Caenorhabditis elegans: one gene and its partners. The protein of the gene in region 2 interacts with the protein of the main gene of each other region in a biochemical or structural test. Each region holds a gene or a part of one and is shown on either strand. Other genes may lie near its edges.

The links.
Region 1: the proteins of egl-6 (region 2) and flp-9 interact in a test that uses a peptide from one of them, tested with the Caenorhabditis elegans proteins (one large-scale study listed by BioGRID).
Region 3: the proteins of egl-6 (region 2) and flp-6 interact in a test that uses a peptide from one of them, tested with the Caenorhabditis elegans proteins (one large-scale study listed by BioGRID).
Region 4: the proteins of egl-6 (region 2) and flp-8 interact in a test that uses a peptide from one of them, tested with the Caenorhabditis elegans proteins (one large-scale study listed by BioGRID).

What each region holds. Positions count from the first base shown.
Region 1 is NC_003282.8:12,751,958-12,760,569, reverse strand, and holds flp-9 (KPSFVRF-amide 2), read left to right. Parts: upstream 1-2,999; 5' UTR 3,000-3,067; coding exon 3,068-3,130; intron 3,131-4,599; coding exon 4,600-4,707; intron 4,708-5,618; coding exon 5,619-5,756; 3' UTR 5,757-6,012; downstream 6,013-8,612. UniProt on the Caenorhabditis elegans protein: FMRFamides and FMRFamide-like peptides are neuropeptides. KPSFVRF-amide: Has no effect on somatic body wall muscle, inhibits contraction of vaginal vera muscle, and inhibits the activity of the dissected pharyngeal myogenic muscle system.
Region 2 is NC_003284.9:5,929,202-5,937,028, reverse strand, and holds egl-6 (G-protein coupled receptors family 1 profile domain-containing protein), read right to left. Parts: upstream 4,444-7,827; 5' UTR 4,262-4,443; coding exon 4,083-4,261; intron 4,031-4,082; coding exon 3,917-4,030; intron 3,870-3,916; coding exon 3,793-3,869; intron 3,742-3,792; coding exon 3,575-3,741; intron 3,524-3,574; coding exon 3,188-3,523; intron 3,086-3,187; coding exon 2,863-3,085; intron 2,754-2,862; coding exon 2,662-2,753; 3' UTR 2,497-2,661; downstream 1-2,496. Other genes in the region: C46F4.3 (EB domain-containing protein), read right to left, coding at 302-469, 811-963, 1,177-1,252.
Region 3 is NC_003283.11:9,467,839-9,475,589, reverse strand, and holds flp-6 (QQDSEVEREMM), read right to left. Parts: upstream 3,616-7,751; 5' UTR 3,613-3,615; coding exon 3,531-3,612; intron 3,408-3,530; coding exon 3,224-3,407; intron 3,156-3,223; coding exon 3,087-3,155; intron 2,993-3,086; coding exon 2,897-2,992; intron 2,094-2,896; coding exon 2,012-2,093; 3' UTR 1,798-2,011; downstream 1-1,797. UniProt on the Caenorhabditis elegans protein: FMRFamides and FMRFamide-like peptides are neuropeptides. KSAYMRF-amide has an excitatory effect on dissected pharyngeal myogenic muscle system.
Region 4 is NC_003284.9:14,877,641-14,884,075, forward strand, and holds flp-8 (FMRF-Like Peptide), read left to right. Parts: upstream 1-3,778; 5' UTR 3,779-3,897; coding exon 3,898-4,020; intron 4,021-4,089; coding exon 4,090-4,223; intron 4,224-4,276; coding exon 4,277-4,427; downstream 4,428-6,435. Other genes in the region: sssh-1 (UPAR/Ly6 domain-containing protein qvr), read left to right, coding at 696-780, 834-917, 976-1,079.

The DNA of each region.
Region 1 (8,612 bases), on a different chromosome or scaffold from region 2:
TCTCGATTCTTCTATTTTTTGCGATTTATTTGGAAACTGTCGTCATTTCTTACTTTCTATACGTTTTTGGGGTGCCAGGAATTGCAGAGAAGGTTTTTGAGAAAAATCTGTAGCTTCCATAAAAACAATAGCTCAGATTCCCTAGCTCACACATTATTAAGCTTATTCTTTTGAAATAAGAAGTCTTTAAGTATATTTTAAGAATTTACCAATTTCCAGTTACTTTAACTTCTACGTTTACTGGGAGCTATTCAACTGTAGCAACTGAGTGAATAACCAATCAGCGATCCCAGTTATCTGTGATTGGTCCACAGCAGAGTGCTCCCAGCAATCAGCGACATGGACCACGCCCCTTGTAAATCTTTGATTGGTCTGTTGCAGAGAGTGCTGACCAATCCTAGCATGTCTGTAATAGTTTGGTGATCGTTATATTTACCCGGAATTTCAAAACTTTCAAGCTTTGCAAATTCTTAAAAAATGGAACACGCCTTTAACTCTTTTCCCCCTATTCATAAAGATTTCTCCGGTGCGGAATAACAATATCTCTCTTCCGGACGGACACGCACATCACTTTTATATTTGGAAGGAAAAAATGTTCCGTGTTTCCAAAATTAGTACCAACCGCTCTCTACTCGAAAACGGAGTATAGAAGAGGAGTTCAAAATGAAAAATTGAAGACACTTTGTCATTGGCTTTATGGGTTTGTTACTGAAGAGTAGGGGCAGCTGGAGGAGGAGGAGAACAAGAAACATCATTTTCTCGTATTTTCGACAAGGACATGCAACATTGTTCTTTCTTGCAAAAATGGGAATATTTTTTGATTTGCAAACCTCCTAATCGGCATGTTAACGGCTGAAGCGTTTTGAGGGTGTCTCTCACTCGCCCTTTTAACGGTAATCTTGTGTGTCATGTATTGTCACATATTTTAAACCATCAGTATATTTTGTGTTTTTATTATTTAATTGAATTTTTTTAAAGGTAATTTCCGGCCTAGAGTGAGGCGAGGCTGGTAAAAAACTAAAATGAAATTTCAATTCTGATTTCACGGCTGAACTTTTATCGGATCTTTTTCTGAAATTTTATAACAAAATCCCAACATCGAAAAACTTTATGTTTTTAAAAAATTGTTGAAGCTTTATCTATCCGTCTCCCGCGAAAAAAATTCCTAAGAAGTCCCGCCGCTTATTGGCTTAGCCAAATTTTTTCGTTTTTTTTTTCGATTCATATTTTAGGGCTCCCGCTGGAAATTTTTCGGAATACACTATTTTTTTGTGGTCAAAATTTGAGAACATCTGTTACTCTTTAATAAATTCTAGTTCACATAAAAAATTTGAATTGTATTCCAATCATCGTGCACTTCATTTCAATCACCCACCAGAACTCCCACCTGAATTCAATGAATACTCAGAACGAGTAGAACTTCATATTCAAATTGAATAAACTTTCAGGTTTCTTTTTTGAATACCCAAATAAAGAGATTCAAAGAGGGAGGTGTAACGGGAAGATATTTTTGGTTTTGAATCTGAATAGCTATTATTTTCAAAAAATGATCAAAATAACTTTATTTTGTTAAGGCTGATAATAGAGAAAATATTGGTATTTGGCATTGGGCACATTTTTTTATATCTAAAACTAAAAAGTTAACTTTTTTGTTACGAAATTAGATTTTTTAACATTAGGAACAATAAAGTTTGTCGGTTTTCTTTCAAGTGGACCCGCCTGCCTGTCTTTTAGTCGACATATAGGCTTGCTCTTGCCTTTGCAATTTTGTCAGTTTTCAAGAAATACTGTAAGATTTTATATTTTGAATACCTTCTTAGAATCCCAGGTTTCCTAAAATATCGTATGCGATTTAGATTAGTTTCTGAAATCACAAAAAAAAATCTCTTTACGAGTTCCTAGAGCAGTATTACCAAATATTTCTATTTCAGTGAGTATATACCTATTTACGTGGGCTTTAATGACTTTCAATTATATATTTCTGATTTGTTTTATTAGAATGGGGAAAACGAGAACTCATTGAAACAAAACACATGAAAATTGATCTTGTCAAAAATATTGCAGAAATTTGAGCAAATTGGCAAGATGTGTGGGTGATCTGCTCAAAAAATGTCCTTCTGAGAGAGAAAAAACTAAATTAAAAAGTCATCATAGGCAATTTCATTTTGTCGAGAAATACCATAAATTTTTGGCTACATTTAAAGATTTTTTTAGAAGAATTATATTTTTCTCGCGTTTTTTACCCATTTGCATGTGAATTTTAGAATGAGTTTTTTGCTATTTTTTCGAATTCTCGGCACATGGAAAAATTTGCGTTAATCAATTTTTCTTTATTTCGGTTTCGAGTTTTTTCTCCTGTTTTCCATAAAAATTATAATTTCACTGTACATTTTCCAAATATCTTTCCGATTTTTCCATTTATCAAATCATGAAAAATTTTCCGCGACATATTTAGCACCTAAAAAATATAAGACGGTTAGGCGCGAGGCGGCCAGTTAAAAAGGACTTGAAAGACGGCTTTGTGACGACCAATCTTTAAAATGTTTTCAATAACAAAACCCATAAAGGTGTATTGTCCAAAAAGATTATGACTATTTAGAGGATTATTTAAATCTGATTTTTAAAATAATTGAAGAATTATGTTATTTTTTGGATTTTTAAAAAGTTTTTTTTATACCGGTAAATTCCATTTTTCTTTCCTATTCCTCCTACAATTTGAACTACGATTTTTTCAAAATCTCAATATAAAGTAGATCCTAAATACTTCCTACAGTACCACCATATTTCCCTGAATACTTCCTGATTTTCAAATAAATCTACATAGTAAAGTGCCCCCAACCTACCGAACCCATCATTATCACTTCGAGTCTTCAAAGTGCTCACACGTCATTCTTAAATGTGTGTGTATGTGTGTGCTCAGACTCCGCCCATACGTGTGCTCTCCATTCTCTCTCAGGACTCCGCCCCCATCAAGGCTCACTTCTTTTTCTGGTCTCGTTTCCAGAGAAAAACCCAGCAGCATCGTCTGAAGAAGGGTGAAACATTTTTTGTTTCAAAGAAGAAAAAAATGAATCAATTTTATGCACTATTCCTTGTCGCCTGTATTGCAGCAATGGCAAATGCCTATGAGGTGAGTTAAGATCGGAAAAATATAAATAATCTAAGATCATATTTCTTTCCGCTTCTAAAATTTGTGTGCTGAATTTCTTGAAGCGGAAGGTTCAACTTTTTCGAAAAACGAACAAAATATTATTTGTGCCCCTCCCCCCTGTGCCACCAGGCTCGAAATGAAGCCAATCGTGTGCAAAATAATAGAAAAGGCGCCACCTATAAAATGTGTTTTCGTAAATAAATTTCAAAGTGACTTTCAAGTGTATCTTTGAATTTTTAACAGTAGGCGAATCCTGCCTATTTTTCAAATGTAGGCGTGCCTGCATGTCTGTTAATTACCTAAATTTTGGAAGGTGCTTGTGTAATATACCTGCCCCCGTGGAAATGGTTTGCATTTTTAGGCTTACATTGAAAAAACAGTATTTCTAACATAGAAAGTCTAATAAGTAAGCCTAATTTGGACCAACATGGTCATTAAAATTTTAAAAATGGCTAACATTTTTGGGGCAAAAGACATACCTCAATTTAAGCTGAATTCTGTGAATTTTATTTTTTTAATAGCCCGAATAGAATATTTGTTTTCAAACACAAGATTAGTTTATTTCTCTTCAAAGAAACGTTGAGTCTGGAACGAAATAGCTGAAAAAAAAACGAAATTCGAAATTCTAGGGCTTCGTCTCGTCATCCACTTTCCTAATAATTTGTCGCGATGATTAATTTTTGGAAGCCCATTTTTACCATTTTTAAAAGTTATTACCCCTATCGCAGAATTTAGGTGTGATGAGCATGGTCCGACAGCTACCGGGTTTCGCGCCAAATTATAAAGCATGCGTGTTTTAAGAGGTTAAAAATAGTGCGGCGCGGAACCGGGCAGTTGTCGGCCGAACTTAGAAATTTGAGATTTGTTCAGAAAATGCCACCAGGCTATCCGAATTTTTTCGAAGTTTTTTGACCTACGTGGATATCCGCGCCTTTACATTAACCAACTTAAAGTTTACATATTCTATAACTTCCTTATAGTTTCAACACCTATTTTCATCCAGTAGCAACATCCGTTTTATGTAATACTTTGAAAATGTTAAAGTGAGCCACTAATGAGCACAAGGATTACATTCTTCGTCGTCACCCTTCTCCTTTTATTTTGCTGCTTTCGATGCTTCAGAGTGATGCTCTTGTGCTCAGTCTACCGTTCAAAATCAAATTTTAAGATTCTTCTATCTCTTTTTCGTACAAAAAGTTGATTAAAGTGATGATGACATCATTCAAAGTCACGAGAAGTTTAAAATTGATTGAATAAACAAAACAAAAATCCGTAAGAAAACCTAGACATACCCTATTGGGAGATCGCAGGGCTCACGGGTTGCTCCTGCTACTGCTCGACGACAAAAATCTCATTAGTTTTTATTGGTGCGGCGGGTGTAGATTTGCGGCGTTGATTATACGTGGGAATATGTTAAATTACATACATACTTGAGCTCTATTTTTCAGGAGCCAGATTTGGATGCACTCGCCGAGTTCTGTGGAAAGGAATCGAATCGAAAGTACTGTGATCAAATTGCACAACTCGCCACTCAGCACGCAATCGGTATTAATCAGGTGAGAATGATGACGTCATACTGGGACCTTGAGATATTGGCGGCCACGGTCGCATTGACATTAATATATTCTATATTCTTGAAATAATTTTTTGAAAATTAAAGACAAACTCAAATGTAATGTCCTATTCTAAAACTATGGCCAATTCCATTTTACTTACAAAAAATTCAAATTAGCGCTCAATAAATGCGCCGACCAATCAGCGACCTTGGTCACGCCTTTTGCACGTCGCTGATTGGTCGGCGTTTCGTTTTTTTTAAATTTTAGCGGGATATATTGAAGTTTCAATAATGAAATTTATCTTCTAAAAAACACATTTTGAGGAAAATTTTCGACTGAATAACTTTTTGCACATTTTCGGAATTGGGGAGAAAAACATCTAAGAATAAAATAAGAAAAGGAGCTCCTCAAAAATTGATAAATTCCAAAAATACACGCTTCTCTGAAATGTTAAATTGTGACTAGAAGCACTGAATAATTATAAAGTTCATGTTATAGAATTAGAAAAATTATGATTTAATTTAATAAGAATATGGTAACGGCCTCAACGCGACAGAAAATGTTTTAATGGAGGCTACGAAAAGTGTATGCGCCTTTAAAACATTATTTTTTACACACTATTTTCGAGAGCCTTACTTTACATTTTTTAACGTTTCTAGATCAGAAATGCCGTTGAAAATGTTATATATTATTTGCTTTTTCAGTTAAAGGAAGTTTTAAAATTATAATTTTTGAAAAATCGTAAGAAAAACTAAAAATGGTCATCTCGTGACTTTCAAAAATAAATAAAAACGTCTCGTCTAAAAATTGCGGAATTCCCCACAACTGATAATGAGAAAATATTAATTCTGCCACCAAACCTATAACTTCTTGTATTTATCTAAACAATTCAAGAATTTTCTAATTTGCAGGAGCAAGTCCGAATGGAAAAGCGGAAGCCGTCGTTCGTCCGTTTCGGAAAACGTTCAGGATACCCGCTGGTAATTGATGACGAGGAAATGCGTATGGACAAGAGAAAGCCATCATTTGTTCGATTTGGAAGAAAGTAGATAGATATGTCTTGTTGATTATTCTGGAAACATCTTGGATCTATTTTTGATCTCTCTCTCTCTCTCACACACAGCTGCTCACTACGTTTTCTTCTCGATTGTTCCCATCTAGATTTCTGGCCCTCATACCGTTCATTCATTCTTCTCTCCCATCCCCTTACCCCTCTTCAACTTTTATGGTAACCTGAGAATTTGTGAAAATCAAAAAAAAATCAAGTTTTCATGTTGATATGTGCAATAAAATGTGTTACATGTGTGTGCGTTGGTGCCATTTGAATCAGGAAATTTTTATCATTTTTTTATTTCAAAAGGAATTGCTATTATAAAGGATTATCTCAACAAAACATAAAGATTGAGTTGTTTGCTTTTCACTGAAAAAAACTGAAAATTTGAGAAAAAAAAATCGAAAAATCTGAACTCCCGCGCAGAACAGAAAGCGTCGACCAATCAGCGACAGAGACAACGCCCCTTACGCATCGCTCATTGGTAAGCGAAATAGAGTTTGAGCCTTTAAATGTAAGGTGTACAGTAGTTTCCATTTATACATTTTTGTCTGGAAACCTAATTAAAGCATGGTGAACTAGAAAATTGCATTGCGAAATGTCTAAAAAAAAGTTTTTTTACTGCAAAAGAAATTACTGTACTCCTTAAAGGCACACACTTTTTTTTCCAAATTTTTGTGTCTATCGTTGCATTGGGTTCTCAGTTTTGTGCTCAAATAAAAATAGATTCAATCTTTCAGTGATGCCTGTAATTATTTGAACATTTTAGGAAAAATTGTATTTCTAGATAATTATTATTTTTTGAATATCCCCTTTCGTGTTTCATACCTAACAATATTCCTTCGCGCGGGAATTTAATGATCAGCAAACTTTAAAGTTTTACACACTTTAAGGATGACTTCTTTCTGAATACTTGGGAAAAACAATACTTGATACATGTGTGGGTGTTTTGGTGTCATTTAAACCAGAACATCTTTATCTCAAGTATCGTTAAAAATCTAAATTAGCTTTTTTGAAAAAGATTACTATAAGATGGATTATTTGAACAAAACATAAAGCTTAGAAAGAGCAAAAGTCGTTCAAAAAAGGATAAAAGCACATATTCCGTCATTACCCGATTCCTTTTCTTGAATAATTCACGATATGAAAACGAGAATGAAAATATGAAACACACACACACACATACCTTCCGAATTTATTTTTTATAAATTCTCTCATTTTTTGTGGATTTTGTTATGTGTCTGGGACCGATTGTGGGTTTAGGAGTTTAGTGTTAAACAAAATTTCAGCAGTCATTTAACGACAATAGCAATAGAATTTTGGCGGTCACATTGTATAGATTTCACCTAGTGACAGTTTTTCCTATGTTTGATATTTTTTCCCGAGCCGTTTCTCTCTATTTCACACCTGAATATCTAATTATTCACGAAGACAGAATATGTTTAAAACCGCGGTGTAATCGAACTCGGAAGTTTTGCGACCAATATACATGTAAAGGGTTTAATTTTTTTAAATGATTTCTGGAATTGTTTTAGATCAGTGATTTTTCCTAGAAGCTACGCCAGAGGATTTGTGTTTGCAATTTCGGGAAAATAATACGTCCAACTATTCAACTTTTTCGGGGAAAAATATAGGTATTATAAGAAGTATTTGAGTCACGAACAATGGAGAGATTGAGGTGTTCATGGGCCAACGTCTAGCCAAAAACCTGAAACGATTAAAAAACACAAATATTTTTTATTACGAATCACTATTATTTCAGATTAATTCGCAGAAGTATCAGGTTTGAAATAGTATATTGAGACCCTAAGTAAAGAAATATACTGGAGGCGTTTTCCGGGCGATGGGGAGTGGTGAAAGACTTTTCTTCAATTTTTGTAGCTCCGAGAAGTGAAAAATTGTCTTTTTCATGTTTTATCACCGGGTAGCAAGGCGAGCCGTTTTCCACATTTGTTGACAAATTACAGAAATATCGATTTAAAAAAATGCCATTTAACAACTCCAATGATCAGAAAACATTCAGATTTTTAAAATTTTCTGAAACTCAAATAATAAATTATTCAAAAATCCATGATTTCTGATGACCTAAACCCTATTTTCAAGTGATCTGTTTACGTACACAAATATGTTCCACTAACTGATCTTTCCAAGTCTCTTCTAATATTTTTGTCCAAAAAGTAGTCCGTTGGTGACTGAAAAGTCATGTTTTTCAGAGCAACCCTTAATCTTGAGAAAGTGTACACCAAAAAGTGCTCGCGGGCAATGCGTAAGTGGTGGGATTAAAAACAAATGACGAGAGGAGTCATCAACTACTTTTTGAGTTATTAAATTGGGTTTTGAGTAATGAAAAAAGATGGAAAAGTGGGGGTGTACTAGTAGAATGTAGTAGTAGTAGGATAAGAATTTTAAATTTTTAGAAAAATTCGAAGAAAATTTCAAAGCACAAATATTCAATTCCAACATATAAATAACGTGTACTCTATCATTGAGGAAGTCGCTTTCGTGATCATAACTCAAAATTCAGCTTGGAAAATTTTTGAGAGCGTATTTTGAAAAAAGGGCAACAGAAAATAGTACGTATTCGGTACTCGGATTGGAATTGATGTTATTTTCCAATTTTCCAAAGATTCGAAGATCTCACTACTCACAACTGGCAAAACTTTGGGAAGTCTGCAAAAATTATATGAATCGTAGACTGTAAGTTGAGAAAAGATTCAAAATGATTTTTTGAGCTGCTCAAAGATGACAACAAGGGTGTGCAGAAAATCTCAAAATTTACCGAGATCGGCAAACGGCAAATTCGGCAAATTTGCCACATACCCCTGATGCAGAAGCTTAAATCTGAAAATCAAAA
Region 2 (7,827 bases):
CATTTTACTGATTTTCACTAATTGAAATTTGAATTTGCACAAAAGTTGCGAAATCGATTTGGTTTTTGTAAGCTGTCATAGAAAGTAAAAAAAGCTAAAATTGTTGAGAAAACACTTGCATTACTGAACGGGAAGAAAGGCTAAAAGATGTGCAATACTTATATTTAAAAAAACATTTTCGAATGCAATACTGATAGAAAATACCATTTATCATTTTAAATCTATTCGCCAGAGAACAACTGAGCACAATTCATTTTCGCTGTCTCTTTCATTACTCTTCCAGAAACAACCCAAATCTCACCATTCAAATTCCGAATACACTCCCCGAAAGACGGATTATAACCCTGTCTACATTTACAGGTGCCTTCAATGCACTTTGTCGACGGTCTGCAGACTCCTCCTTGACCGCACGGATGACCTGCTAAACCAATTGCTGGCAGATTTTCAGGCTTGTCATCGTGCAGGGATTCTGAAAAGACACTGCTCAGTTTTAGAGGGACTACAGGTGCCAAATTTTAATTATTCGTTTATTTAATATAGAAAATGAAATATATAAAACTTAAAGTTTTGAAGTACACAGAGGAAGCTAGGGTTAATAACAAAACATACAGTATTAAAGACTTTAATTCAAACTCCATTTCTCTAATTTTCAGCTGCTTTTTTCAAATTTAACCAGAATTTCCTGTTGTTTCTTTATTGTAATTGTTTGCATAGGAATATAAGTATCTTATTCTTAGTATTTCAATAACACTTTCACATGCACTACTCTTTCTTCAGATTAATCATTTTTCCAAACTAGTAAGCTCATACCAGATTCTTTAACTTTTGAATCATAAACTGATTGATCCACACATTGTCCGTCAAATTCTCTTTCCCCATCCACGCATAAACACAAAATATCAATGCAAATAGATCCACCCGAGCATATTCCTCCGAACAGGCACTCAGTTCCAGGAATTCCAACTGAAAACATAATATAAAAAATAAAACTTTGGAAATTGTTGGAACGAAAAAAAAGCATTTACCGGAAAACGTTAAGTTTTCTTGTTTTTTTGGTTTGTATATGAGTACTTGTATAGACTCTTCGGAGACCATGTTCACCAGATATCATAACCGAGAGCAAAACATATGTGTTCTCGACCACATTTATAAATTCAGAAATCATTCAAAACTTACGTTTACCTTCAACGCCATACACTTGTTTTGCAGAAACGGAAAGTAAGATTAGGAATTGATAAGTTGGAAGCATCATCTAAAAAAGATAAAACAATGGAACAAATCGGAATGTGTGAAGATACCCGAATGTTTGCAATTCGTTTCTTTGCCTCCCCCAGTCAACTGTCATTCGTGTTTGTTTTTCCATTTGCTCTTTTTTCTTTTTTCTTGTCAGTTTAATCAGCCCAAATTAGGATGAGCCCTGAAGTTTTGACAATGAAACAAAAAACAAAAGTTCAATCAGTTGGCTTTATAGATTGTTATATTTTTGTTGTAGAACGTTCTAGAATATTTTTTCCACAAAAAAGTCAGGGAAGTTTCAGGCTTCAAAAAAGAAGTAGCCGCAAGAATTGTATTTTTTTTTTGGTTTCATTAGTATTTGTTTCATGTTTACTCTAACTAGAAAACAGTGCAAATTATCTTCAGACCCAGCCACACTGATGTGAGTCAAATTTTTTTACGGGGGAATTTACATCTGAAACCCCCATCTGAAATCCTAGTTGTCGTTCGAAATTTTACTGTGCACTTTTTGCTAAACTCAAAGAATTGTATGAAAAAGTTCATATTACATTCTTTTTTTCATTGGTTATGTGGATAACGAGTTACTGTAACTCGTATCAATTCAGTGGCTGAAAAATATTTACCATTATTTTTTCAATTAATTGGGTTATTCAAGTAGTGTCGGAAAGTTTAGAAGCAGAGAAAAATTTTAATACAGTTGTCACGTCATTTCTCTATCCTTTTTAATTTTTCGACACTACTTGAATAACCCCATAAAAAAGCATTCCGGGATGTAGTAACTCATTGTCTACGTAAGTGACCCCAAAAACTTCTTATCGCTATACGTCTACGTATTAACTTCACTGACAGGAGAATACTTTTGAAGGTGTTCAGAAAATATTATTCTTTCCGTTTAAAAATTCCGCTAAGACTGTCTGTCAAGATATGAACACTTGAGACTTTTTGCAACAAAAAAAAACCAAACGCTTCAAAATACTGCAATTTTTATTGTTTTGATAGATTAAGAAGCGATTCAATTTGTTAGTGTAGCAGATAAATATGCTATTTTTTCTATTTAGAATTTAAAAAAATTAACAAGTATGCTGAAAAATTATATTTAAGGTTTTAGAAAACTTTTAAATTCTAAAGAAAATTGCTTTAAAAAAAGTCAATTAGACAAAATCATTGAACACTTATTTTTTCATAACTTTGATTTTTAACTTTGAAACTTCAGTTTTCCAACTTTTAAAAGCTGTTCAAATAGAGAAAACACACTATATTAGTAAAACAATACAAGTTTTATTCATTCTCGGAAGATTTCAAGATAAACAAGAATCACATTTTCAAACTTGTGACTTTCAAATTTTTCAGACGAATTGAAGTTCACAACGGGATAAATACAAAAATCAAGAATTATAGTTGAATTGAATAACTACGCAAAGGAGATTAAGACCCGACATATGAGCTTGGCGCAGTTCTATTTATCAGAAAAGTTCGTGGGGACTTTGTTTCGTCGTCATGTCGATGATTCCAACTTCCTGAAAAATTGTATTTTGAATTGAACTTTTTAGTCAGAAAAAATTGTGAGTAAAATGTAGTTATCTCAAGTAGATGATTCATCCTACAATTTTGTTTGAAAGTACTCACTTCGAGTTCCTCTTAAACTATTCTTTCTGGTCCATGGGAAGAATAGTGCTCGGAACGTGGAGAGATACTCATTGGACATGGTGCAATAGAGAACGAAGCTAACAGAGCTGTACAACAGCGTCAGCATTTCCATCAGATTTCCCACTGGATCGTAATACCGATTTCCGAACTCTTCACCGTAGATAGCCACGCACAAGTTAAGAATACCCATGGGTAGTTCTACCTGGAATCAGACATACGTTTCATGGTAATCATAGACAAAATAATATAAATAATCGTAACAATACAGCAATCACATACGATCAGACATTAAATAGTGACTAACCATTACACATAGGAGTAGAATGATGACGAGCATTCGTGTTGTGCGCGGTCTGGTCGTCAACTTTCTTTTTGCTTTTCTCTCGGAGTTGGTGCAAATGTTGGCACCTTGTGTACGCTTCCAGTTTTTACGCCTTCGTTCTACGCTTTTCAAAGATCTTATAAGAGCAATGAGTAGTATTGAGAGAATTAACGACGGAAGTAGTTTGAACACAATACCAAATGCCCAGAAAACTGCGGACACGAGAAGTGGACTCTCTTGATAACTGAGGTCGTACAATGGACCTTCCATTTCGCATTGCAAATCATAAGCAACGTGGTCACGAGCGACAATTTTAACCTGAAACATAGATGAAATCAGATTCGAGATATGAAGATTAACTACACAAACCTCGGATATGAAAAACAATGGAAGACTGATGATAGGAATGATGATCCAAATGATAACGTTTGCTGCGATTGCTGGCTGGCATTTATAGATGAATCTATTCGCTTGAATTGGAAACTTCAGTGCACAATACCGAAACACTGCGACAACGATCGTCGTTGTGAATGCAACTGAAAAGTATTTGAGTACAGTAATATGCTTGCCAATCTAAAAATACTTACTTGTATGAAATACTGTATTCAGGTTGACATTGAAGAATCTATATCTTGTAAATGCTTCGGACCATAATAATTGAACACTGCAAAAAACTGGAACATTGTTTTTTTTATTTGATGCATGACGTACCATTGATATCTATAATACTCAAGCAATAAGTAAAGGAAGTAATTGGTCGCTAGGAGCCATTGTGCAATGGAGAGACCTGTGAGCAGGATGTTTATTGGGGTTCGCATCCGTTTTCTGGAATAACAGGTACATTCATCCGTAAAAAATAAAGAAATATATAACTTACCTTGTGAGCACAATAATATTGAAGACGTTTGAAGCGGCTCCGAATATACAGATAGAAATTGAAAGAGGAATATGAATTTCATCGTAGTACTGCAAAAAGGACTTGTCAGTTATGGCTCGCGACGAGACATTTGTTGCATTTTCACGACCCGACAATCCGAGTTCCGTCCATTTCCCCATTTTTTCACTCTTTCACGTTTCGGAACGAGCCCGAATAGGGAAGCAAATATGGGAAAGCAAAAAAGATTCCGGTTCAAAATGCTGGAAAAGCTTCAAACGTCCATTCACAACCGGATTATCCCAGCGACAATCTCTAACAACGAGATAGCAGGAAAAATTGGACGACAAAATAAATATTCGTTCCAGTCAAAACGGAGTGGGAGGGAAAGGGGAAATCTAGTGAAATCAGTGTTGGAAGTTCCGCCCACTGTGTAGCGCGTGCCCCTGTCTATCAGCTAATTATTTTTCAAGTTGTGTGCATCGCGTGTCCCCCCAAATGACACCATACTGATTCACTGGTGCCCAGTCAGAAACACATAGATGAGTCTCTGAAAGACTAACTCGCAGTGTGAGGCCGTAAAACGGGTTTACGATCGGCTCCCAATAGAGTCTCGTACGCAACTAACACCCAAAGTACACGTGCAGAATTGCAGAATTATTTAGGTCATTTGAGGAATGGGACACTACTCCGAAAATGGGGAAAATGTTTGAAACTGTTCATATGCCGCTACATTAGGTCCTGATAGGTTTTGTTCCCCCAAAATGTTTTAATTTTCTAAAATTAAATTTTCCACCTTTCAAATTAAAAACAAAAACAAAAGTACGGAACAAAGCATTCGTTTCTCCAAATCGTTCCAAAAAAGTTCACGTTTTTGTGGTTAATTGTAACTTAGAAAATTAAAACATTTTGAGGGTAACAAAACCCATGAGTACCCTACAATAAATCATAATAGCAAACTTTTCGAGTCCAATTTGACAAAATTTTCCAAAATTTACATTCGGAGTTGCTTGAAATTTCTCAAACAGTCCAAACTTTTAGAAAACTTGACAATTTACCAAAACTTTGATTGAAATTTTTTGAAAAATCGGAGCATTTTTGAAGTGTTGCACGATTATATTTGACTATTATGAATGTGATTAAATAATATTCCCACTGATGATACTCCAACTTTGATAGTTTCACATAAGTGTTTAAACCAAGTGAAAATTATATTTTCGATGTAAATTTGTCTAGACAGTGACTTTTGTCCTATTATACAATTTGAAATTTCAAGGGTTCAAACTTTTGAGGTTGCTTAAAAAAAACGTCCATGCTTTTTGATAACTTGGTAATTCACCACAACTTTTACTGAATATTTTGAAAAATCTAAGAATGTTTGGAGTGTTTCACAATGATATTTGTTCATGTCAGACTATCATGATTGTAAATTCAAACCCCCCCCCCTCTTCACTGATGTTACTTTACTATTAATAGTGTTTATAAGTGCTTTAAAAACGTTCAATGTTCTTGAATATTCAAAATAGAATGTTGCTTCAACACATCTAATCTCATATCTTGAGACATTTTGCTCTCCGATTAGTGATAACAATTAATTTTTCCTAAACTGTTCTTTGGCAAATATCAAAATTGAAACAATGATCCTATGGCTTCTATCACAAATTTGCAATTTTTCCAAATTTCCAACGCGTCATCAAAACCACCTCCCGAGATTTTAATGCTTTGAACTCACCATGGCAAACATGTGGATATAGCATTCGAAGTATGTACAGATCAGTGTGTCATTCATTGCTGAAAAGCTGTCATTGTGTTCTATGATGTTCTCCATCTGCAACAAAAGACCTGTGTTGTTTTCAAAGTTATGCAGGGAGAAGAACAAGAAAACGTGAGGAAACGGAGGTGAAGGCAACAGAAAAAAGATCAGGAAAAACCTTTTGACGTTATATAAATTATTAAATCATGAGCATTATATAAAGATTTCTGGAGTATAGAAAGTTCCATACCTTAAATGAGTTCAAAATTCAAGAACAGTACGTAGAAATGATTAATGTCTAGTCTCGGGAACTTATATTCCCCTGGCACGGTCTACCGTCATATAAGGTTTTCGCAGTACATTCTGACAAATTTATTGTTGCAGAAAGAAAAAAAGAAAATTGAAAAAGACACGAACGCAGCTTGAGATAAATAATTTTCGAATCCGGTACACCGTCATTCTCCTACAAAATGAAGGAAGGTTGACTGAATAATTAAATTAATGTTTTCTTTCATGCTATTTTCAAGACAAAAGACAAACCCGGACACTGATCTGTCTATTTGTAAGTGACAAGTAGAATAATATATCAAGGAAAACAATGGACGAGGGATGAACATTTTAGTGTTTGTTTCAAATCACATTTCGAACTCGAGGCGACGTTTTAAATCTCCGCTACTTTGCTCTTTTGCACTCTGAATTTTTGATCATCAATGGAAATCTTACATCTTCAATATTTTCAAACGAAAAATCCAGCGGTCAGTTGAGAGTCTATGAATTTAAAAGTATTTTTCAATCGTCATAGTATAAAATTTTCCATTTTTGTGGAGGAATAAATTGCAAGACTTTTTGAGTTGAATTTTTGAGTTGGATATAACCATTTTTATCAACAGGAGCTGAAACTTTCAAAGTAAAATTTCAAAACAGTTAATGATAATGTAACAAACAAATACCTAATTATTCAATCAAACACTTTTTGTAAGTTTCGCAAAAATTGTTGTGAGCAAAACGACAAGAAAACGACATTAACCTCAAAAAAAACCTGTCAAATAATGCAAAAAAGTGTGATAGTTGAACGAAAACTAATTTGTGAAACTGAAAAGATGGCAAAAATTAAAGTGGTAGCTCAATTCAGCTGATTTTTTTCCGAAAAGTTAACCTGCTTTTAAAATTTTTGAAAATCTTTTTTAGAAGTTTCATTATTTAATTTGACCGTTTCAAGTCTTTTTAATCAAACATTTAGGCAGAACAAAAACCCACAAACAAAAGAGAAGCCTTAACGCTAGATAGATATTAACGACTGTTTCAAAAAAATCACAAAATAAAGTCTGAAGTCTTAAAAACGGTTTCAGTAACAAATAAAAAAGAATCAGCGAAAAAGTTAACTTTGGGAAAAAAATAATTCTTCGATGGTGACGCATAAAATAATACAATAATAGCATAGAATACGATTGGATATCTATTCTTCTTTATTTCAGCTTTCTATGTTGCCAGCTTTAAGAGGTTCCAGAAATCAGATATTTTCACTGAGTAATCCAATAGAAAACTATTATTTTCGCAGAAAATAAAAATGAAAAAAAAAAAAACTTTACAGCGAAAAATTGATTTTTAAAACGTTTGAAATTGCAATTTGTTGTTTTCTGCTACTGTCTTTCAAAACAATTAATATAGCATTGAAATGACAAGATGGGAGTGAAAAGCAATCATAAACAAAGACAAATGTGTCCGATGGATTACTGCGGAGTTGTGTTTCTTTCAGTTGCCAGTTGAAAAGTCAGAACATCATTAGAATCGAAATTCGGAAAGAAAAATGTACTTGATCGAATTTTTTAAAACAAAATTTAATGAAAGTGTGAACATCAATTAAAATGCGTGAGAATTGAGTAGGAGAGGAATTAATGGAATGGGAATAGAAAGTAGTAGCTCTAACTTGAAACCTTTCGGTCTCACACGGAACTGAAACTCTTTCCAAATTAGAAATTTACAAAGCGACGCAAA
Region 3 (7,751 bases), on a different chromosome or scaffold from region 2:
ATTCTTGTTTCGCCAAGTGATGTATTCCATACTTTTCAACCAAAACGTTTTTGTTCCAGAACTTTCTCATAGTACAATCAGTACCATGATCTCTACATGTCTCCAAAAAATGTCTTTGCAATGACTGAAATAACTAGTTCTCATTTACAGATTGTCAGGTTGGTTCGGGTTTCCAAGACCCCTTTAGAGTGCACTTTTTGCGCACTTTGTCACAGAGGGCACACACTTGGAAACAGACACGAGATGTAGACAGTTGTGTATGTGTCTTTTCAATAAAATACGTAGAATTAAAAGGGATTCGAATACAAATTTCAAATTTACAAAGAAGGAAGTTGTAAGATTTCCAAATAGTTGCAACTGTTTTATGGCTCTGCTTTACGGTGCCTCAACTTTTAGGAATCAGGAATCAAAATGGTCACGCTTTGTGATAAAGTAATCAGGTCAGTTATTTTGAAATTACCATACTAAAATTAATTTCAAACACAGTGTGAAAGATATTTAAAAAATATTTTCTACTTCCACGTTTACAACCAATTGCCGTCAATTTCAGAACTTGATTTAGCCATTTGCATTGTACCTTAATTTTTTTTAGAGTTCAAAGAACAAGATCATATTTGGTCGATAATCAGTATTACTTTTATTTTAATTTGACAATAAAATTCAGCCTTTCAAATTTTTCAGTTGGAAAGCAATAAGAAATCCTCCAGTTCTATTTGATCTAATAACCTTATATTTCAAATCTTCTAGACTTCAGTTCCTGTCTAGGTTATGACGTACCACAGCGGATATCGAGAACGGTGTTTATTGGGGTTTTAAGTGATAAGCAAAGTCTGTGATAACTCTGCAAAAACAGTGTGTTCAAACACCGTTTTTCTCAAGGATATTGGATATACTGCAAATGGCATGTTATCTCAAAAGATACATTAATGGCAGACACCCAATGTTATATTGTATCTTATTAAAAAGTCACAACATTTAGGAATTAGATAACAAAGAACAGCAGGGGACGAAGATTCTCGTTTTATATTTTTAAAATTAAGTCCTACTCGTCTTAGAGCTTTAAAAAATTCTAGATGCTTGTCAATAATGAAGGCTTCCAACAAAGTACAGAATTCGAATTTTAACTACTGCACACAATTTTCAGTGTGTCCAATCCAACTGAATGTCAAAAAACTTTCATGGCTTACGCTGTTTCTCATGTCTGCCATCATTGAATTTCATTCGTGCCTGCCTACCTCTTGAACTTATATAGTACTAAATTTACAGACGAAAAATTGCAGATGTGTGTAACTCGCCAGCAAAACGAAAGATAGATTATGTTAGCCAATGATCTTAGCTACCGTTTCAAAAAAAAATTTAGATTGCGGGTGGAAGATATTCCCTAGGTAGGCAGTAGTTTGTGCCTGTACTAAAAACCATATACATGGGCGGCATACACCACTTGGTGATTGCCAAAAACGCCGATTGCAGAAAATTTTAAAACTCGGCATTTCCGAATTGCCGGATAAACTTTATCAAAAATAAACACTTTCGAGTTGTGTTTTTATCAGATTATTATTATAATCCAATGAACGTCAGATTACGCAGACGGTGACACCTTTTCTTTCGTCATCATCTTTTTTTTTTTGAAAGAGATATATAGAAGTAACAAGCGTGATCTCGGTACGACATCAATCAGGCGTCTGTAGGAGGCTGGTTTTTCTCTTATTCGTTTTTCTGTTCATTTCGTGTGTTTTTCGTATTCAATAAAGGAGCGGATAAGATACAGATAAAAGAGGTGATTCTGTGTGAAAAACACGGTGCAAAACTTTATCAATCGAAGGAAACGAAGAGGATGGGAGAATTGTAAAAAGTAGGGATTAAAAGTGTAGGTTTACATGAAGATAATGTAAAAGAAAGAAACTGTCAGTTTTATCATCGGGAGAGTTGAGAGTTTTTAAAAGGTATTTGATTTTAAAATAAGTTAAATGTGTGAGCCTGTATAAATGATAGATCCAAGTTTGTCCAAAATTTATCGTCCGAATCTCATGTATGCTGATTTTCTCTTCATCATATCGTGGTCCTCCTCCTCACCCATGGAACGTTTTCCGAATCTGAAAATAAATAAGTTCTTAATCTCTGAATAGCTCACTATTCGTAAAATAGAGTGATGCAGAAATTACAGTGCATTTTTTTTCCACTTCTACGACTTTAAAGGCGCGCGCATTTATACAAAATGGTCCCGTCATTGGTCTCGCCATGCGCTCAACAAATCAATGGGATGCGCGTGGCGGGACCATTGCGCGAAAATGCGCGCGCCATTTGGTTTTCAATCAAAGGGAAAATATCACAAATCAGCGGAAATCCCATTGCCATGGTGTTCAATAAGTGAAAAACGAATGTCTCTTTTTACTTACAAAAATTACGGGAAATTGTTCAGAATGGTCTGACGTCAAGTGTCTTTTTTCTGAAATAGTCTCTCAGTAAAAATTGTATGACGTCACAATGTTCAAAATTATATTTCGGCGATTTTCGCGAATGAAGCTATGATTAAATCGTTTGAACACACGTTTTTCAGTACTTTCACAAAAGAACAACAAACACGTTACTCAAAGAATATGGTACTGAAGATATTAGCTTTAAGAAAAGATAACTGACATTAAACTAGAAACATATCTCTAAAGAACTATTTGCCAAAAAATGTTAAGAAAGAGTTGATCGTTTCAAAATCAAGAAATAAAAGTTCCTCGATTAGTATTTTCAGATATTTCAAAGGAATAAAGTTCCAGTTGGTCCTTACAAGAGCATTCTAGTTGTGCGTAAGATATCCTCGTGTTTTTGTGTCAACTTAGAAATGAATGGGTTCAGCCATGTTTACCCTAGAATAACTTTTTTCGTTTCTTTTCACTTCTCTCACCTCATGTATGCGGATTTTCTTTTAAAAAGATCATGTGCATCTCCATCAACTCCTTCATTTCCAATAACTTCCATATCTGATGATCGCTTTCCAAATCTGAAACATTTCTATGTTTTTTTTGAATAAATATTCATTCATTTTGAATAATAATTCATTCATTTTGTGTCTCATCTGAAACTCATTCACATACCTCATGTAGGCACTTTTTCTCTTTTCCATTGGCATATCATCTTCTTGAGGTCCAGATCGCTTTCCAAATCTTCAAAATAAAATAATTTAATGACTTGGTCTCAGACACTGGGAGGTCAATTGAGGTGAAAAACCAACCTCATGTAGGCGGACTTTCTCTTTTCCATATCAATGTCATCTCCTCCAACAAGCTCTTGCTCATCACCTCCGCTACTTCTCTTTCCAAAACGCATGTAGGCACTCTTCCGTTTTTCCATTTCCATTGGGTTTCCACCGTCAGAACGTCCGAAACGCATATACGCTGATTTACGCTTCATCATTTCTGCAAAACATATTTTTGAACAGGTGGCCCGAGAGATACGTAGAAAATGAAAGTTTCATGAACACTACAAATGACATGGTGCATCGTGTCCTCGGTAGTATATTTTTTTGTTGAAAAAATTACCTCTCTCCACTTCACTGTCCTGTTGTGCGAATGCTACAGCGATCACCACGCCAAGCGTCAAAATCAACCCACGAGAGTTCATATTCTGGAATAATCATATTGTTTTCAAAATAATGATTAAAAACTGAAAACAAGATAAGAAGGCAGGAATGGATTTCAGGATTTTATGAGATAAGAATCCTTAAAGCAGGAAGCAAATATTATACCTATTATACCTTGTTTTTCATATAAAACAAAAATGAGTAATAACTAAATAAAAAACGTTGAACAGAAAAACATAGAGATTCAGCTATACGTCTGCGAAGGTCAGGTTGTATGAAGTACATTTTCAACTTTTCATAAATATCATCTGGTAACGTGGGGCGTGGAACATGTCTGAATTTGGATGAGGGGGAGTACCAGGTGAAAAGTTGGTTGAAAATAAAAAGATTAATATTATTATCTATTAGTACTACTACAAAAGAGCAAAAAGAAGATGATATTGGCTTAGAAAAGAGCCTCCGAATGAGACCCCCGACTCGCTTTTTTGAGGGGAGGAGAAGCGGACGAAGAAGTGGGCGGAGTCAAGCTGTTGAAGGTATTCCTTTCTCCAACGGCTCTTTCCCGCCCTTCACCGTCTTTTTGCTGGTTTTGGTGGGGGCTAATCCGAATTTGGGGATGAGAAAGGAAGATTGACGTCATGTTTAACTGGTAAAAAAGTTAGTTTTATAGGTGGATCCTAACCTGAGTCAAAAGCCAGACAAAACAAAAACACGGAGTTACCATAGAGAATATTGAGAATTGCAATATTTCTGACTTTTCACCGAAACATTGAAGAAGAGCAAATAAGATTGATGACATCAAACAAGGAAATTTGATGGATTCATTTCGAGATTCAAAGTGACTTGTATCGCAGCTCATACTCCAATTTTCAGATTTCAAAAAATACAAAAAAGTAAGAGAACGTGAGAGAAGGAACCAAATGTGCAGTGAAAATGAGTCAAAGAACAAATTAATTAATTTTTATGGACTTTGTGGGAAAATCATTTTTGAGATTTTCTAAGCATGTTTATGAGACACCTTGAACGAGAACAAACGTTCACTTGAACCAATATTAACATTAAAGGCAATTGGGTCACTAAAATCATCAATTCACATATGCACCACACATTTCAAAACTGTGCCCTGTCACTGTTTCGTTAAGTGTAGGATCTTATGGTATTTTAAAAAAACCCAGTCAACAATCTGACAGTAGATTAACTTTTATTCCACATCAATACATCCACTGAACCCAATGCAAAACATGGTGCATCGACCGAAAACAAACAAAATAATTAGAAGCTGTCTCACTTTAAAATAAATAAACATTTACTTGCGCAATATTCATTTAAGTTAAACTATTTTTTCGGTCAGCTTTAAATTCCAGCTAATGTGAGATGAAATCAGAAGTTCGGAGAAAATCAGGAAGTTTTCGTGCTGAATCTTGTTGCCAATTTTCGATACTCTTTGGTTAACATTTAGGAAACTTTGATAGATCGTATGATTTTCAGTTATCGTTTTTTTAAATTATGAGTACTCATCTAATCCGTCTGCTCTAATAAGGCTTCTTTTGAAAATGTCAATGACGCATATAGAACAATTCTCATATTTTCTTATTAGTCATTTTTTAGACATTATCACAATTGAACTAGGATTTAAGAATTTTATATCTCGCGATTTATACTTTCCTAAAGAATATTTTAAAGTTAGTTCAATAAATATTATAGCGTTATTCGGGAAATATATGATCTTCTAAACTTCTTCGGTTTTTCAGAAAATCATCTTAGTTTCAGATTTTTCAAGCAATATTCCAATCAGCTTTTTGTTTTGGTTATAGGGTGGACAATTCCAGGAACATCCCAACACTGATCCATCCACTGCGTCATTTGATTTACTGCCGTTCCCTGGAGAAAAACAATTCTTTTTTTTTGGATTAACTTTTTAAGAAAATAAAATAAAAAGAAGATTTATATATGTTATTTTAAAAAATAAAAGAACAGTACTTCCTGATCTGATTCATGGAATCACTTTTTTTTGGAATTTTTCAAAACCAAGATGAAGCCATAGATTTTTTTTCATTTTGCAGGACTTGCAAAATCCCAGAACTAGTATTTCACTTTCCGGATCTTTCAAAAATAAAAGCGTCCTGAAATTTTAGGTTATGTAAGCAGAAGTGACGTGAAGATGGGAAAATTTTGTGTTTGTTAAATTTGTACTACATCATTAATAATTGAACAATGAAATTGAAACATTGAGTTTCAGGTGATCAGGTGTTTTTCGAAGGTTAAATTGATCTTTGAAGTTGGAAAAACATAGACAATTAAGTGCTAAAAATTTCAGTTAGCTGTGAAGTGTCAAAATGAAAAAATCGTAATTTTCTAATAAGAAATTTATTATTAAAGTTTTATTATGTTATTTCAGTACTTTAATGCGACCGTCATAGGGAAAAGAAATCTAGAAGATTTTTAGAAAATTGTAAATTTACGATAATTTTTGTCAACATTTGTCAGAAGGATTATTTTTTTTTGTTGTTTTTTTATGCAGTTTCCTGCTTCTGGATTAATTCTGAAATTGTTTGGTTTTTCTTACAATTCTGAAAGTTAATCAAAGATTTACTTTAGAAAGAAAGTATTGAGTGAATTTGCATTATGTTGTGTTTCTGGAAACAACAACATATCCTTGAATCAAACATGGGTTGCATTTTGGAAAATCTTTAATTCTTGATATGTCATCAGAAGTCAAGCGTCTTCATTCAAAAAACGTGCTTGTTTTTTCACATAACTTTGATTTTCTACAACTGGAATATCATATGTCGTGTGACATTTCCTATCCAATTGTAAGGTTTCAATAATCAACATGAAAGTGATATGAATAGATATTCTGATTAAATATTTTTTGAATAAAAATTGAAAGATAAAATCTTCACTGAGAGGGCGTTGATTTCTTTTGTTGGTTCGAGTCATCTTCCATATATGGTTAAATAAATGTGAGAAACGATCGAACACCTTAGTCTTCGAAAAGTAGTGAAACCAAAAAGTTACAGAACATATAAAGAGGAAGGAAAAGGTACGGGATAATCGAAAATGCAAAAATGTGTTTCAACGGGCACTTTGTGGCCCATGTGAGCCACCAATAGAGGAACTTCTGACGAAGAAGCCAATTGTGACTAGATCATTCAGACATCGTGAGAAAGAAATCAAAGACCTGAAGGCATACAACAGAAGTCTACAAGAGAATGAACAGAAGAACGGAAGGATTTAAAATTGTGCAGATCGTGCACAGAATCGTTTAGTTTGGTGGGAGTCTGGCTATTTGAAGACGCAAAGTGAAATGTGAATGGTAAATTAGCTATTCACAGTGAGGGGTTTTGATTGATTTTTTTAAATTGGAATTAAAACCTCAAAAATATTGATCAAAAAGGTAAGACTGAATTGAATTCAACACTTGTGTCTACTCAACATGACCTTCACATACAAAATGAACTTTCTCATGAGTTCACCTGCCGAATTGTATGCAAATGTGCATTGAAATATTCATACCTAGTTGAATTAAGCATGCATGATGTTAAGACAAAGTTTGGGAAAGAATTCGCAATTGTTACTGAAAATACTTCAGGTACCTTTTTTTTCTTATTAGTATTGCACCCCAAATTTTAACACCGGTGATATTGAAAATTGTCCAGTTATATGCTTTATCTATTTATGCACTTCTAATAATTGAACATTTTCAGTCGCTGTTAAATCAGAGAAATTGGTACGCAAGAGAAATTGGCAAAATACAGTATTAAAAAGATTGTTGTTCCATTTTAAACGTATTGATTCCATCACCGTTATTGTTTTTTCCACGAATGAAAATGTTAGCTGGAAATACTTGTTTTTAATTGTGATTTTTAAAAAAATATTCCTGCAAAGTTCCATATTCAGAAGGAACATTTCTTTCCGTTTTTTTGCCCATTCATCGTCCAATCTTCTTTTCTTAAACTTCACGTCACTTCACGAACATCTTCTTTTTGCTCTCTTTTTCATAATTCTAGGATTTCCTCCTCCCACTTCTTTTGACCTATAAAACTTTAATGGTGGTTTCCCGAAAGAAACGGAATTCTGACTAGTATACGTATTCCTATTTCGAAGTCAAACTCCAAAGTGCACGGATTACTTGCGAACGCAAACCGATAAAGTTACCGTAACCAAAGCTAATCGTTTG
Region 4 (6,435 bases), 8.9 Mb from region 2:
ACGGTTTGCCTGGGGCAGGCTAGGGCTGCCTAGGGTAGGCTAGGTCTGCCTAGGGTAGGCTACGTCTGTCTAGGGTAGGCTACGTCTGTCTAGGGTAGGCTACGTCTGCCTAGGGTAGGCTAGGTCTGCCTAGGGTAGGCTAGGGCTGCTTAGGTCTGCCTAGGGTAGGCTAGGTCTGCCTAGGGTGGGCTAGGTTTGCCTAGGGTAGGCTAGGGCTGCTTAGGGTTGCCTAGGGTAGCCCTCCGCCTCCCGCATCTCTCTAGGGTCTGGGGTAGGGCTGTCTAGGGTAGGCTGGGGTCTGGGTAAGGGCTGTCTAGAGTAGGCTGGGGTCTGGGTAAGGGCTGTCTAGGGTAGGCTAGGGTCTGGGGTAGGGCTGTCTAGGCTATGGGATAGGGCTGTCTAGGGTCGGCTGGGGTAGTGCCTTCTAGGGTAGGCTAGGGTCTGGGGTAGGGTTGTCTAGGCTCTGGGCAGGACTGTCTAGGGTAGGCTAGTTTTATTGTTTAATTGCTTTCAGTACGTTTTTTTGTTTCTGTTATCAAGTGAATTGTTTTTACTTACTTGATAACCCACAAAATTAGTGAAAATCTTGCTGAATGAACAAAAAAATCTGAAATTGATAAAGTTAGCCGCATTAGCCGAATTTCAGCCGACCGGCTAACTCGGCTAATATTTCTCTAAAATGAGCAGTTTTCCAGGTTGATCAAGCTCTTCGTGATGGAGTTCGCAGCAATGAGTGCTCAAATGGAGTCTGCATGAAAATGATTTTCCAGGAAAAAAGCGGTGAGATAGATCAAAATTAATTGTTTATTTTATTTTCTTTTTACTTATTTTAGGAATCAATCATGTTTGGAGAAGTTGCATACCAAATGCAAAAGAACAAATCCGATCAGACTGTACAAAAATTACTAGTGGAGAAGGTATGTAATATTCAAATTGTTCCATATAATAAAAAAAAAATATATATATAACTTTCAGGAAACCTTGAAGTTTGCACATGCGATGGTAATTTATGCAACAATGACGTCAATTTAAATCTAATACTAATAATTATGTTTTCTGCAGCTGTGTTATTATTATGATGAGTTGTTCATTAAACCTACATATCGGAATCAAATCAAACTTAGATCTCTATTCTTTTCATTTTCCATCGGTTTTATATAGAACTTTTGCCGAAGTATTTTGATTGCATACCAAATAAATGTTTTTACGTTGTTGGAAATGTTTATTAAAATTTAAAGGAACACAGAATAGCCAAAGTGTTTTTAATTTCCAAATTTTTTTTTACTCCTCGAACAGTACCCTTGAACTTCAGCTCGCTATTTTGAATATTCCTGTCACGAAGTCGGTGAATACAAAGATTCACTCGCTCACGACTTATTAATAAATCTAAGGATTTATTAACAAATGATTAAATGTAAAGATTGATTCATTGTTATTACGTAACACTTGCTCTTCAACACTCAACATCATCTCTTCAATCAACGGCAACAACCATGCAGAAGGACGGCGTCAGAAACCCCGATTCAAACTACCGCCAAAAGGACGATTCAAGGCGCATGAGGTCTCGCCACGACACATACAACAACGACTGCGACCGTACTCTTGTCATCATGGCGCAGCGCACATTGGCCTATATCGTCAGTCTTCATCGGTCTTCACCACCGCAGCACGTGCCCGACGGTGGCACGTTTAAATGAATGTTGAGTGTTAGTGATTCAAGGTTTTCCCCTTGAATCACTCGTAATAAATGAGTTAATTAAATAAGAGTCTTTTGTTAGTTCCTATCAGTACCTCATGGGCCGGAAACCACTCCGAAACAATTCCCATAATTTTATTGTTTTCCATTTTCCAGGAAAAAAAACAGTTCTTTGACATTTTCAAGCCAAAAACTATGTGTGTTCCGTCTTAAGACCATGCATTGGAAATTACGTTCGTCACTATTTTTGTGTGTATGTGTTTTGGATTCCTCTTCTCACATTTGCGGTCACAACAGTATCGTTCATCGGTTTTTATGTTGTGATAAAATAGAGAAAAAGTAAAACGAGCATATTTTTGATAGCGGAAGAAAAATTTTGAGATTACATATAACAAAGCGGAAAGTGATTATCAAATGTCAAATTATCAAATAATTTGGAAGCTTTTCAATTCAATATACAGGGTTGATTTTCAATAGGTGGTGCAAGTAAAAAAGAAATACTGTATTTATATTTAAAGATAAATACATTTTGTTTAAACACGTAAATATTGTTTCAAGCTGGCCGCATATCAAAATAAAACCGTACAAAAACTTTCCAGTTTTTCTTAATTTTCAGTCAAGGTTTTAGTAAAATAGCGAGGCGACGAAAATATATAACTTTCCGAGAAGTTCAGAGCAGTTAATAATTATTATCAACTTTTTACAGAATGGTTTACATTTTTTCAACATTAATTATAGTTAAAGGACAATACATTTTTCAAAATATTCACTGTAAATATGAATGAATACTTTTGGAAAATAATCAAAAAGCTGACTGACTACTGTTAAACAATGGCGGAGTGATAAACTAGCAAATTCACTTATTATGCACATAATTATAATGCAGGATAAGATGACTGACTTTCAAGACATTCACTATTTAATGATTAGACTTCCATTTTTGACCATCCCATTTTGACATAAGAACTCCTTGATATTTTGTTCTCTTTGAAAAGTCTTGTTTTACTCTACTTTAAATGAATTCATTTTCGTCATGGACGATCTCTTCAAAAAGTATGTGGGCACCTTTACTTTGAATACACGCAATCTTCACCGTAGTTTCATGTTGCTCGAATGAATATTCAATGATTGGAGGGCAAGATTTATGAAGAGATTGCCGTGAAATCATTTTGCGAGGCGAATCATCGAGGAAGCAACTGATTCGTGATGAATAATTTGCGCGGTGGATAAGTTTTTGGTTTCAAAGTACCCCCCCCCCCCCCCCCCGAGAAGAGGTGGAAAAAAGTTGAAGAATTAGATGAAGGAGAAGTCCAAGTGTTACGTCAACAATTTACAAATGCATAGAGTTGGTATAATTAGTTTCGGAGGGTGTCGGTGGCTAAATTTATCTGTTAGTTACCTCCCAGCATGAATTCCGTGTATTCACTGTGTTCAGTCCCTCGACTGCTCGGTTATACAGCTGATAGATAGACGAGGAAGAAGAAAACACACAAAAACGTAAAGTGGGCCTCTTTAAAAAAATTTAAAAAACAAAATAAGGACACAAAAATATAAATATGCATTGTTTTCATTTTTCAAAACGAGGGTAGCTTCGAGAAATTTCCATTTTCAAATCAAACGAATTGCTACAACAATGTCAAAATGTTAAAATTTTTCTTGGTGGTACTGTATGACTCTAAAGTTTGATCTGGAAAAATTTGTTTTTTCGTAGATAACGTTTCTTACCTAAAAAGCGGTTTTTAACCTGATAGTTGAGATAACCTGGTTTATACAATAAATTTTCAAATGAGATAATTTTTAATAACTTTAAAAAAAAATTTTTTTATATCGTTGGTTTTCGAAACTTGATTTTCAGCAAATTTTTAAAATTTGAATCAACTTGCTCTCAAAGACACGTTTATTGTCTTACGACTTTTAAAACCGGAGTAAATTTAATTTTTCGATGAATCAATTTCAGATAAATCTCAGAACAAGCACTTTACTGTTTCTTACTTGTTTTATGCAATTTACCATTTCAAGTTTTCTATGCCCCCGCGTTCTTTTACCAAACGCCTTCCAGTGGACACTCTAGAATTTCTTCAGCACAAGAAGGCGTGGCCTCTGAAAAGGCGGAGCAAAGTGCGCGGAGCCCAAGTTAGTGGAGAAGACGGACCAGTATATAAGCCACGAGCAGTGCTCAGTCCACACTTTTCAAGTAGAAAATGCTCTCCGGAGTCCTTTTTTCTATTTTTGTACTCGCCATATCGGCCAACGCTAGCTGTGATGTGTCCGCACTGACCACCGAGAATGAGAAGGAACTCGGACTCCGGATTTGCCATCTTGAGGTATGTTGATCATTTTTTTTAGTTTCCAAAGTGGTTTTTTATTCCTGTAAAATCTAAAATGTTTTGCAGGCGGAGATGCAAGTCGTCCAAAGAGCCTTGCAGGAGGTGATGCAGCAGACAGATGTCACACTGTACGATCAAGAAGTTCCGGTGATGAACAAGCGTAAAAACGAGTTTATCCGATTTGGAAAACGCAGTGACGGGTTAGTACATATTTGGTATTTGTCGGTCATTTCAAATATCATTTCTTTCTCAGAATGGAAAAACGAAAGAACGAGTTCATCCGGTTTGGAAAGAGAAAAAATGAGTTCATCCGATTCGGAAGATCCGATAAGGGACTTGGACTCGACGACAACGACGTTTCCAGTGAGTTTTTCGGTTACACCTCTGATGTATTTTATCTGTAAGTGGTTTTGCAGTGGAGAAACGAAAGAACGAATTCATTCGATTCGGGTGATTCGCGTTCAGAGATGGATGTGTGCTTCTTGATGATTTGGGCCAAATTGTGTTCTATACTGATAATGTTTTGTTAGATTTCTTATTCTCCATGCTAATTTTTTTTCTTTTATCTCTGCAAAACGTCAGTTAGAATAAACTTTCATTGTTTTTCTGGTTTTTTTTTCTTTTTTTTTCCATCTTATCTCAATTTTCACAAGACTTGGATATTCACAGGCTTGATGTATGAATTGCATAATATGTCCCAGCCGAATGACCAAATCCGTTTTTTTTCTTTGTATGACCACTCATCGTATTCAAATTTGCTTACAAGTACGCATGATCCCCCTGCGGGCGCGCGCATCAAACAGACGTAAGACCGGTTTTCGAGGAAAAACTGTGTATATCTTTCTATCCGAAATCCTGTGTCATTGAAATATTTCACAATTTGGATACAATTTTCTCGGCCCAAACATGTTGTATAGTCAGTGAGAAGAAGAAAAGTAAATTTTTTGTTGAAATGAGACAACATATTTCATGTTTCGCTAGGCTACGAGAACGTGGGACACTTGTGATTTTTTTTTGCTTGACAAATGATGGGGCCAAGCGATTTCAAGAAGTCTAAACAAGATAATTTTGGCGTCATAGTTTTTGATAGAAGATTTTTTGAAAATTAGAATCAAGATGGTTCTATTGCAGTACATTCAAAAATAGGAGTGGGCTTCAGCCGAGTTTCACGATTGATAGTTCAAGAATTTTCTCTAAATTAAAACACATAACTATACTTTCAGTTCCCACTAAACTGAAATTCTCAATGCTTCAAAACTGCTTACCGTTTTCTACTAAGTTCTTGATAGCTCAGTCGGTAGTGGTGGTCGCTAGCAATCTGGAGGTCACGAGTTCAAGTCCGGCCTCACTCCCTAGGTTCACCCAGCCTCCATTGGCAAGGTGAGCAATCCATAACTGGATTTTCCGCCACAGTCTCCGGCTAGGACGTGGCTTAAATTATAGCCCAGTAGGAGCACCATCAGGCAGTGTACCTGGCTCCTAGATCCGCAGTGCATCGCACTTGAAGAAGGGATCGTCTTTTAATCCTTTAATCCTTTTTTATACCTTAAAACTTTATTTTTACTATCTGCAAAGTAAGTTCATCTCAGATTTTCTAATTAAAAAACCCCTGCTTCGTTGTCGTAATAATGCGTCATCTCAAAGTTATTGAAATTCCGCCACTTTTCTTCTGGATCTCACTTTCCACGGATAAAAAAGAAAGCCGAAACTTTCTTATTCTCATGCCTCGTCACCTCCGAAACTAGTCCGATGACTCAATAATTCGGTGAAGAATGGCTTGCCATAATAAAAAAAAATTGGGCGATATAGTCAACGGCAAAATTTAAATTCAAGGTGTATACTTTAAGCAGAAATACTTGGTCAGTGCAAATTAATTTTCAGTTCACTAAAAATTAGTCAAGCGGAATCTGGTAAACAATTAGGAAAACAAACACTTGAGGACGGAAGATTATCCCTGAAATACTTTTCTTTTATATTGTTGTAAAAATTCTCAAGACGCTTCGAAGAATTTCGGAAATGTTCGCAACACAGGATAAACGAGATGTTGACCAGCTGTGGTGGAGGTATGGGCTATTGCCATTAGTCGCACTTTAGTCGATGATGATGGCAGACAATTACCGTCCTATTGACAGCTAGTTTCTACTGCCCGCCGCTACCGTCACCACGTAATCTGGCCACGCTATTGCTTCTGCACACGATTTTTCTCTCGGAGGAGGAGGAGGAGGAGGAGGACAACTATTTTTTCGTTACTGCTTTATGTTTTGCGAGTTTTACGATTGATCTAAACTTTTCGATTCTTTTTGTTAAATTTTACGAGAAATATAGAAATGTTTAAGTTTGGAAAAAAGTGATTTGTACGAAATTTCCTTATTAATGTAGGACCATTAAAAATCTTACAATTTGTTTGTAACT